Arabidopsis thaliana: one gene and its partners. The protein of the gene in region 2 binds, or shares a complex with, the protein of the main gene of each other region. Each region holds a gene or a part of one and is shown on either strand. Other genes may lie near its edges.

Region 1 (2,932 bases), on a different chromosome or scaffold from region 2:
AAAGCATTGATTATATGATCTGTGATGGTTATGTGTAATATTTGCTTTTAGATTGCTTTGTTTATTTGAAAACCCTTTTGTGGTTTTGATCACAGGTTGATGGAGTCTGGATTGCTTCCAGCCGAAAAAGCAAAGAAAGTTCTTGAGAAGAAACTGCAAAAGGGTGGAAAATTAAGTTCTCCAGTAAAATCTGCTGCTTCTACTCCAAGAAGCAACTCCAAATCAGTGACCGTGAAGAAGAAGGAAGTACAAAAGTCGCCATCTGAAGCTTTGTCAAACAAAAAGAAGGGAAATGATTCGAAACCAACCACGAAGAAGAGGAAGAAGAACTCTGATGATGACGACTCAGATGATGATTTTTTGGCTAGCAGAGTCTCTAAAAAGGCTAGAGCCAAGTAGGTTGAATTAAAAGACTGAAATCTCATTGTGTTATTTGTAATCGTTTCTTAGGGAGTCAATTTGTAGAATGCTTGAAAGGTGAATTCTTTAAGAGTAATGAGAGAGATGGCCAATTGTTTCTGATCTTATCGTGTACTTCTTTAGTTATTAAGCAAAGACTTAATCACGTTTGGTTTAGAGCATGATAGTTACTCTTCGTCCATGTCACTACTTTGTAACCTCGTCATTCTGACTAGCGAAAAAGCCGTTGAACTGATCTTTGAGGCACTTTTCCTTGGAGCTTTAGTCTTCGATATGACTCTCTGATATGGCAAGGTCTAATAGGTCCTGATTCCTTCCTTTCCCTCATAACAACTCGAGCTGTTTCCACAAGGTCGCCAACAAACATCTTTGCGATACCACGCACAACGATGTTCATAGTGTCGTCCATCTTCGGACCCCCTGTGATTCTCTGTACCAACTTCTCCATGTCTGATTTCTTAAAACCAGATCTTCTGAAAGATTCATATCTGCTCATTTGTTCCTCTGTAAATTGTGATAAAATCTTCTGCATCTTGTTGGCTCTAGTCACAGGATCAGCACCAGTTATGTTTTTGGTGAACTCAACTTCATCTTTGTTCTTCGCTTCAGCAACAACGGACGTTTTACATTTCTTCACAGCTCTCTCATCTCCTTCAAGAGTCTGCTCGGTTTCAACAGGTGATTCCTCTTGCTCCTCCATTGCTGCTTCAAACGGATCCTTCGAATGCTTCATTCTTAATAAAACCTTAACGAAAATCACATATCTTTGGATCTTAAAACTCCAAAATTCAGCCAATTTTTTTGTTGCACATCCGACCACACTAGAAAAAATCCGACATGAACATGAACTCAAAGAAATCAATTTTTTGTACTTGTAATTACAAGTACCTTGGCACTGGCTGATCTTTCAGACAATTGCAGTTACAAGTAACCCGCTCGTTGCTACTAGCAAAACAACAAGACCTTGCGTTAAAGGCCATTTATTGTCAAGCCTATTTTTTAAGAAGCCCAAATGTAAAAGTCGGTGGGAAATGAAGTATCTTTATTTATAGAGGCAAAAGTTTAGCTTCCTTTATACTAATTTACTCGATGTGGGACAATTGAGAGAAGTGTAAAATTTATATACTACACAGTAGCTTGAGAAGCAAGGACGTATTATCTCAAATGGAAAATACAAGACACCCAAAATAAATGGAAACTTCAAACTTTCTTTGAACAAATTACTCAAACAAAAAACACATTTAAACAAATTTCCCATTTTTTCAATGTTTTTCAATCAAATTTAAATAGAGAGATTTCCAAGAGTCGTTTCCTTGTCTTTTAAGTAAAATGTTTGATTTGGTGGATCAAGTCTCATAATCTCCCTCCTCTTCTTCTTCAACATCATACTCACCTTCCTCATCAGCAGTAGCATCTTGGTACTGTTGGTATTCAGCGACCAAATCATTCATATTGCTCTCAGCTTCCGTAAACTCCATTTCGTCCATTCCTTCTCCTGTGTACCAATGCAGAAACGCTTTACGCCTAAACATAGCCGTGAACTGCTCACTCACTCTCCTGAACATTTCTTGAATCGACGTCGAGTTACCCACAAACGTCGCCGCCATTTTGAGCCCCTTTGGTGGGATATCACAAACGCTGGATTTCACGTTGTTTGGGATCCACTCAACGAAGTAAGACGAGTTCTTGTTCTGTATGTTTAGGATTTGCTCGTCGACTTCTTTTGTGCTCATCTGTCCTCTGAAAATAGCAGAGGCTGTGAGGTAACGTCCGTGACGTGGATCAGCTGCACACATCATGTTTTTGGAGTCCCACATTTGTTGAGTCAGCTCAGGAACGGTGAGTGAGATGTATTGTTGCGAGCCACGGGAAGTGAGGGGCGCAAAACCCACCATGAAGAAATGGAGACGAGGGAATGGGATTAGGTTCACCGCGAGTTTCCTGAGGTCAGAGTTTAGTTGTCCGGGGAACCTTAAGGAGCAAGTCACACCGCTCATTGTTGCGGAGATCAAATGGTTCAAGTCTCCAACTACATCATCATGCAATGTATCAGAATTAGTTTTAAATACATTTTGGGTTAATGGAGGATAAGAATTGGGTGTACTTACAGCTAGGAGTGCTGAGTTTGAGGGTACGGAAGCAGATATCGTAGAGAGCTTCATTGTCGAGGACCATGCATTCATCAGCGTTCTCTACAAGCTGATGGACAGAGAGAGTTGCATTGTAAGGCTCAACGACTGTGTCAGAGACTTTAGGAGATGGGAAAACAGAGAAAGTGAGCATCATTCTGTCTGGATACTCCTCTCGGATCTTCGATATCAATAGTGTTCCCATTCCTGAACCTGTGCCTCCTCCCAACGAATGGCACACCTGAAACCCTGTAAAATAATGCAGCCCCATGATTCACATAGTATTGGTTCCATCGATGAGACGAAAAAGTGTTCATATATAGTCAAGCAAACATCTTGTTACTAGTCCTTGCTAACTAAATCAACTATAATGTTTATGTGAA
Region 2 (3,759 bases):
CATTCCTCCTGTGGCCATAAATCCGTAATATTGTTTCTCGCATTCATCTCTAGCATAGGTTATTGATATCTTCCTTTTTGACATTTGTGACTCTAAAGGTCTGGAACACGGTTGAGAAGCACAAGAAGGGGGAATACACATCAGTAATCCATGGTAAATATAATCATGAAGAGACGATTGCAACTGCGTCTTTTGCAGGAAAGTACATCATTGTAAAGAACATGAAAGAGGTGTGACTTTTATATTGTCAAACTTTGGATATCCATAGAATTTTGCAAGATGTGTTACTGATGGGGTACCTTATTACTGAGCACAGGCAAATTACGTTTGTGATTACATTCTCGGTGGCCAATACGATGGATCTAGCTCCACAAAAGAGGAGTTCATGGAGGTATGTAAGCTTATTTTGCTAATTCTTTGTATCATTCTGGTTTTTCTAATCTCTATGTTGGCGTTGTAGAAATTCAAATACGCAATTTCGAAGGGTTTCGATCCCGACAATGACCTTGTCAAAGTTGGTATTGCAAACCAAACAACGATGCTAAAGGGAGAAACAGAGGAGATAGGTTAGTTACTCTACCGTTTTTTTACATGACAATCGTCTTTTATCCTTGGAAACAAAAACACCTTAGTTTGAGTCTCATGCCAAAAACCCCACAGGAAGATTACTCGAGACAACAATGATGCGCAAGTATGGAGTGGAAAATGTAAGCGGACATTTCATCAGCTTCAACACAATATGCGACGCTACTCAAGTAAAATTCCCATACCTCAAAAACCATGCATCTAGACAAGTTTTACACTTGAGGAAGTGTTTATTCATCAATACTATAATCTCTTCAGGAGCGACAAGACGCAATCTATGAGCTAGTGGAAGAGAAGATTGACCTCATGCTAGTGGTTGGCGGATGGAATTCAAGTAACACCTCTCACCTTCAGGAAATCTCAGAGGCACGGGGAATCCCATCTTACTGGATCGATAGTGAGAAACGGATAGGACCTGGGAATAAAATAGCCTATAAGCTCCACGTAAGCGCATTTCAAAACTAACTTACTCCTTACCAAACTGCATTCACTGATTTTTTCTATTTTACATTGATAGTATGGAGAACTGGTCGAGAAGGAAAACTTTCTCCCAAAGGGACCAATAACAATCGGTGTGACATCAGGTGCATCAACCCCGGATAAGGTATATATATATTTGCAGCTATATTTTTGTTTGGTTCTCTTGTTTCCCACACGAACATGAGTGAAAATATTTGTGAAAAAATTACAGGTCGTGGAAGATGCTTTGGTGAAGGTGTTCGACATTAAACGTGAAGAGTTATTGCAGCTGGCTTGATTCGGCATTGTGATCGTATTCAAATACTATTTGTCATGTCAAGAGTGTACTAAAATATATGTAGTTGTATGATTTGTCTTTATAACTTTTGTAAGAGGTTTTGTAATTCAAAGTCAACATCCTCGTTATCTTACTCCACTTAATGTTCTTACCATAATCGCAATTAGACTGATATAGAACTTGAGACTGTGTAAGGCTGTCATTATCGAGAAGTTGTCACTAAAACAACTAGGTTATGAATCTCCGCGGTATCGGGAAAGAACTCATTTTCAACAAATCGAGCCACAAGAGTTTCTAAAATAGTTTAATGTAACGAAACTCGGGAAGTTGTCAAGAGTTCTCCCGCGATATTTCGTTATGTTTGGAAAATTTTCAAAACAATGTAATGAAATATCGCGGAGAACTCATTTTCAACAGAATCACTCATCCGAATTTCTAAAATAGCTTCATAAATTTTTACGAAATACCGCAGAAAAACTTATTTTCAACAAAATCAGCCACGCCAATTTCTTATAAAATTTTCCAATAATTTTTTGGGTTATGATTACTACAATTTACATTTGTTTAATTTTAAACCAAAATTTTGGTCTAAAAAAAAAAAAAAAAGTTGGTAGTTAATTTTGGGGTTGGAGCTCTATATAAGCGAGAGATGGCAGGATTCTCAAGACGCATTTCTCTCTGTCTCTCTTTCTCTCTTCATATTTCCCGGTGCTTCGTCGACGTTAGGTCTTTTCCGTTGACGGAGGCAAATTTCTTCGATTCTCTTTAAACCGGCGGTCCATGTGGTCTTACCGACGAGAAAACCCTAATTTCAGGGATTAGATAGCTTTTTGAAACAAATTAGAGCAATGAACACAGAGAGAGCTCAAGAAGGTGATAGGAACGATGCCGCATCTTCCTCTGGCTGCTCCGAGTCCTACGAGTTTAGCCACGCAGCCGCTAAAGCTGCAGTAGCTCAGGTCTGCGAGAGCGTTGGGTACGAGAATTTCAAGGATCCAGCTCTCGAATCTCTATCTGGATTCGCACTCCAGTACATTCTTCAGCTAGGTAAAACCGCTACTTCCTTCGCTAATCTAACTGGTAGGAGTCAGTGTAACGTGTTCGATATCATTCTCGCTTTGGATGATTTGACTGATAACAATGGCGAACAAGGAATTTCGTCTGAGAGTTGTTCATTAGGTCGTTCGATTAAACTTAGGGAGATTATCGATTTCGTTAATTCGAGTGAAGAAGTCCCTTTCTCGCAGCCATTGCCAAGTTTTCCTGTAGCTATAAGTGATAGGAGTAGGAAGATGATCCCAAGCTTTGTTGAAATTGGTGAAACTCCACCTGGGAAACATATTCCTTTGTGGCTACCAGCTTTTCCTGATCCTCATACTTATAAGGAAACCCCTATGTGGATCGAAAGAGTATCAGATCCAAGGGGAGATAAGATTGAACAAGCGAGGCAGAGACGAAAGGCTGAGAGAGCTTTGTTGAGTTTGCAGAGGAAACTTGTTTGTAAAATCTCCTCAAGGAATCCTGTGTGGGGAGATATGGATGGTGTGAAAGAAGAAATGAGAGATGATGAGAGTGAACTGCGTTCTGTATCGTCCGGGGAGAAAGTCGAATCATTGAATAGAGATGGCTTATCAGTGATAGAGGCATTTGCTCCTGCTATGGAGGCTGCAAGAGATGGGTTTTCTAGTGAAGCTCACACTGAATGGAAGAAGAATAAACCTGTTGCTCTTTCTAAGCTCAGAACCGAGAAGAAATTTCTCGGACAACCTTTGGATCTAAGTCTACAGATGAAGGGTGAAGATAGACCCATATCCTTTGTGCGTGAGGAGGATAGAGATGACAAAAGAAGAAGAGCGGAGTTCATTTTGAGACAGTGTATGGAGAACCCAGTAGACCTCAATCAGTTGTAAAATAAGTGATTCATTACAGTCTGTGTAGCGTACTATTAATCTTGTGATTTGTAACCTTTCTTTATACAGGCCTATGTTATGATTATGATTTTGTGACTGAAAGAATGAGAATTTCTAACCTATCTTTTAGGCAATTGATATGATGTCTTTCTCATGAGATTCTTGTTACATAACTTAATGTTAGTTTCAGTTTCATGTCTCATGAGTGGGAGCCAGGGACCAGTGTGGAAGGAGTTTAGTCTTGTATCATTGCTATATTTCCAAACCAAGTCAAGTGGTCTGAGGTAAGTATATTTTCTTTGGTCGACATGTGTTTTGCTTCGTGATGTTTATGGGGTGTGAAACATATCACTGTATCAGAATTAAGATTATGTTATGTCAATTAGTTGAGAGCTCGAGGTTAGAAAGGAAAGCTAGGTTATTGAGTTGGGGCCTTGTGGATTAATGTAGGATTTTGCTTTGGACACTGGGCGATAGATAAGAGACTTACTTCTCTCGTTAATCAAG
Region 3 (3,759 bases), on a different chromosome or scaffold from region 2:
GTCCATTTTTTGTATCAGACACAGAAAATTGAAGGCAGCCTATCTTCACAAATATAACTTCTTAGAAGGATCAAGACTACAACCTACCCACGTTTCAAATTACATTTTTCAGATTAACAGCCATCTGAAGGAAAATTACGAAATTAGAATCAACATTCAAAAAAGAAGGAAAAAATATGTGCCTCCACACATAATTTGGACCAGTTTAAGAGACACAGCACAGCAGAGCGGGCCATCACTTCTTTCTAAGTAAAGAGTCAACTGACATCATCAAAAGCATTGATATACAAGCTATATTCCTTCCATACATAAGACAAATTAATTTTATATCCAGCAACGCTATATGCCATCTGAATGTTCTCTTTTGCTACTGAATATAAATTGTTTCTTGCGATGTGTTTTAATCAAGTACCAAACGCTCATTATCCTCTGAAACTGAACTAACTATTTCAAACCTAATCGGAATGCTTACATTGGACAAGCCCAATCATTTGGACCAAAGAGACCAGTAGGAGCACCACTGGGCTGCTTCCCCGGGGCCCCACCATCAGCGCCTCCACCTCGACCCCTTCCACGACCAGCACCCATGCTGCCACCAGATGCACCAGCTGGTCTAGCAGTTCCACAGCGGTTACAAACCCCACGGAATGCAAAATTCACATTTGTACAACTGCCAATGAAAGAGTATGAGAACACTACTGCTAGAAACTATAAAATATATAAAAACTAGCAAATTAACGGAAACAAGAGCTAGATGAAGCTCCTCACCGATATCACATCACAGACCTTGTATTAGGGCACATCCAGTCACCATCTTGCTGCCATGGCTTTGCCGAAGAATCAGCCTGACCCCTCCCCCTTCCAGCACCTCCATTTGTTTCCTCAGCACCTCCATCGAATTCAACAAACTCAACTGCATCACCAGCATTTTTATTCTTCGACTCGGCCATAAAAACTCCAATGGTGTTTCCATGAAAATCTTTGTTATTGAACCATTCAACAGCAGCCAAAGCAGCATGCGGATCCTCATAGGTAACAGTAGCATCTCCCTTGGGCTCATCAGTTTCTTTATCCCGGTACAGCCATACCTTAGGAGTACCAGTTCGTTTGTCTCTCTAAAAGCAATGTAGAAAAAAATGTAAGAAACTCGAAAATCTAGTGACCTATAAAAGATTGCAATGACGTCAAAACAAAAGCAACAATTAGTACCTGGCCAATACCATACCTTAAGCAACCCAATGGTCCCAAAATAGTCAGCCAACATATTCTCGTCAGTTCCTAAGGGGAGATTTGAAACGTAGACTGATCCATTAGTAGGATATCCAGCCATCGTAATCCAATTTCATCAAAAAGAAAGCCGCCAAGAATCTGTAAATGACAATACCAAAACTTCACTTAGCCAACATTGAAACCTCGCTAAGAAATAACATCGAGACATTGAAACCCCAAAGTTTTGAGCTCAAAAACCATGAGAACAAAAAGAAGATTCGAAATCTGACCAACGAGATAGGGAAACATAGAAGAGCGAGATAGATAGAAATCTGACCAGCGATGAGGATTCAGCGGCGAAGGAGAGGTCGTCGGACTAGGGTTTCTTTCTAAAGTGCGTCGAGTGAGAGAGAGAGAGAGAGATCTTGCGAATAAAGATTTTCTTAAGGGTAACCTCGATAGTCGATTGTTTGTTTGGTGGTTATATTTGCAATTTCATATAACTTTCCCCCTTAAATTGTAATTTTGTTTTTTTATTTTTTTCGTGGTTAAGGAATTCTTTTTTTGGGTGCAAATTGAGGAATTATTAATTTACAAATTAGATGAGTACCCGCACTACGTGCGGGTTTACGTATTACTATTTACTAATTGTTTTATATAATGTCTGTTTATATAAAGTAAAGTTGAATGCATAGGTTTTGAAACATAAATATGTTTTGTAATTGTTTTTGAAAAGTCCAACTATATTAGTTCATCTGAAAAACGAATGTGCTTGAGTTGTTTTTTATTGTTGTTTTAGATTCTTAGTTTTTTTTTGAATTTATATATCCTTGCTTTTTTAGTTATATGTATAGATTGTGAGACAGTGAAATTTTAGAAAAATTATTTCTTACACTAAAAATATAACATGTCTTTATTAATCATGTCTTTGCATATTCAATCTAAGCATATTCAACTCGATATTCTTAGAAAGTTTAGTTAAGTTCTTGTCATAATCTTATATCTTACGTATTAGTTATAAGGATAGCTCCTCAAATATCTTTCAAATTACCTGTTTTCTTAGCATAAATATCGAAAAGCTTAGATATATTTAATCTGCATATTCATTTAGTTTCTTTCATAATAATCGTCTAATTTTTAGGCCAGGAATATGTGTAACATGTTTGGATTTTATCATCACTTTAGCCACTTAAGTGGATCTCAAAATTAAAGAGGATATATTGAATTAAAAATGTAGAAAGAGTGATGGTTCAAGTTCTCATTAATTATATTCTCCTATTTTAGTTGTTATGTTGAATTAATTACTAATTATGTATTACTTATTTTATGAAGTCTAGGTGGCAAGCTCTCATGTGCTTATGTGTCAAGTTGTGGGAGAGAGTTAGTCTTCTTTCATATATATGATTTGTGTTTCAATGTTGAATCTATTTATAGCCAATAATATCTAATACTACTAATATTATACTACCAAAGTATTGGTCAATAAAAAAAAATACATTTGCATCTAACATATATTGACTAAATTAATAATTAAAAAAGTATTGACTCATACTACAGTAAAATATTTATATAATGCTATCTATTTTGTAAAGTTACTAGCATAAGCTTGTCATTTTTTAAAATCTGTCACTACTAATTTTACTATGACTAGGTAATCACCCGCGCTACGCTGCGGTATTTTTAAATTTTTTGTATCGTTTAATTTAAATATAATTTTTAATTATCTAATCATTTACTTATATAATAAGTAATTATTCTTAATATTAAAATATATTTTTTCTAACAACATTCTCAACAATGCATTATACACACAATTCCTAAACAATGTTCGTCTTAAACTAATTAAATAGAAGGTAATATTGGGATTCTCGAAACCTAAGAATTTGATGATTAAACTTCTTACATACTCTTCACCCTCGGCGATTTATTATATAGATATATAACAATATGCAAACTATTCAAACTATTAATTAATCCATGACTACTATACACTCATAATTTGAGTTAAGATTACAGAAAAAAATCTTTTGAGTATGAGAAAATCAATCAAATTATTTTATTGAAAAACATTTAATAACAAAATAAATTTAGTATTAGTACAATTAAATATGTAAAATTAAATAATAAATACATCATTAATCTATAAATTAAAAGTTGAAGAGCTTACATTAATTATTCAGTGGATACATGGCAAATGTTAAAGTGATGATGTGTCAATCATATGGAGAGAGTTGGCTAACTTTCATATATATAATTAGTAGATTAAAAACTCACTAAAGAATAGAACAAGTTTTCTTGTAATGAGTTTTCAGAGAAAAATCTTATTGCTGTAATTGACAAACCAGTGCAAATGGTTGACGTAATTGAAGAAATTAAAAGAGTTGAATAAACATTCAATCAATTTTTTACTATTTAAGTTGAAATAGTTGAAAAAATGATTCAATTGCACTCCTAACCCATTTAAATAAAACCCAAAAAAAACTTTATATTAGTAAATCTCATTAAAATAAAATTCTTACTACGTTTTGGTAATATATTCACATCTTATCA

Evidence for each region.
Region 1: TAF8 (region 2) and TAF11b share a complex: the UniProt entries of both Arabidopsis thaliana proteins name them as parts of the TFIID complex.
Region 3: TAF8 (region 2) and TAF15 share a complex: the UniProt entries of both Arabidopsis thaliana proteins name them as parts of the TFIID complex.

What each region holds. Positions count from the first base shown.
Region 1 is NC_003070.9:6,936,267-6,939,198, forward strand, and holds TAF11b (TBP-associated factor 11B), read right to left. Parts: upstream 1,401-2,932; coding exon 1,309-1,400; intron 1,155-1,308; coding exon 632-1,154; downstream 1-631. Other genes in the region: AT1G19990 (nucleolin), read left to right, coding at 96-399; TUB5 (tubulin beta-5 chain), read right to left, coding at 1,767-2,449, 2,529-2,798. UniProt on the Arabidopsis thaliana protein: TAFs are components of the transcription factor IID (TFIID) complex that is essential for mediating regulation of RNA polymerase transcription.
Region 2 is NC_003075.7:16,426,264-16,430,022, reverse strand, and holds TAF8 (TBP-associated factor 8), read left to right. Parts: upstream 1-2,012; 5' UTR 2,013-2,190; coding exon 2,191-3,252; 3' UTR 3,253-3,384; downstream 3,385-3,759. Other genes in the region: HDR (4-hydroxy-3-methylbut-2-enyl diphosphate reductase), read left to right, coding at 99-230, 317-391, 461-566, 661-755, 844-1,029, 1,103-1,189, 1,277-1,342. UniProt on the Arabidopsis thaliana protein: TAFs are components of the transcription factor IID (TFIID) complex that is essential for mediating regulation of RNA polymerase transcription.
Region 3 is NC_003070.9:18,630,333-18,634,091, forward strand, and holds the start of TAF15 (TBP-associated factor 15), read right to left. Parts: upstream 1,708-3,759; 5' UTR 1,547-1,707; intron 1,369-1,546; 5' UTR 1,331-1,368; coding exon 1,226-1,330; exon of another isoform or gene 1,210-1,225; intron 1,116-1,209; coding exon 787-1,115; intron 671-786; coding exon 473-670; intron 1-472. UniProt on the Arabidopsis thaliana protein: TAFs are components of the transcription factor IID (TFIID) complex that is essential for mediating regulation of RNA polymerase transcription.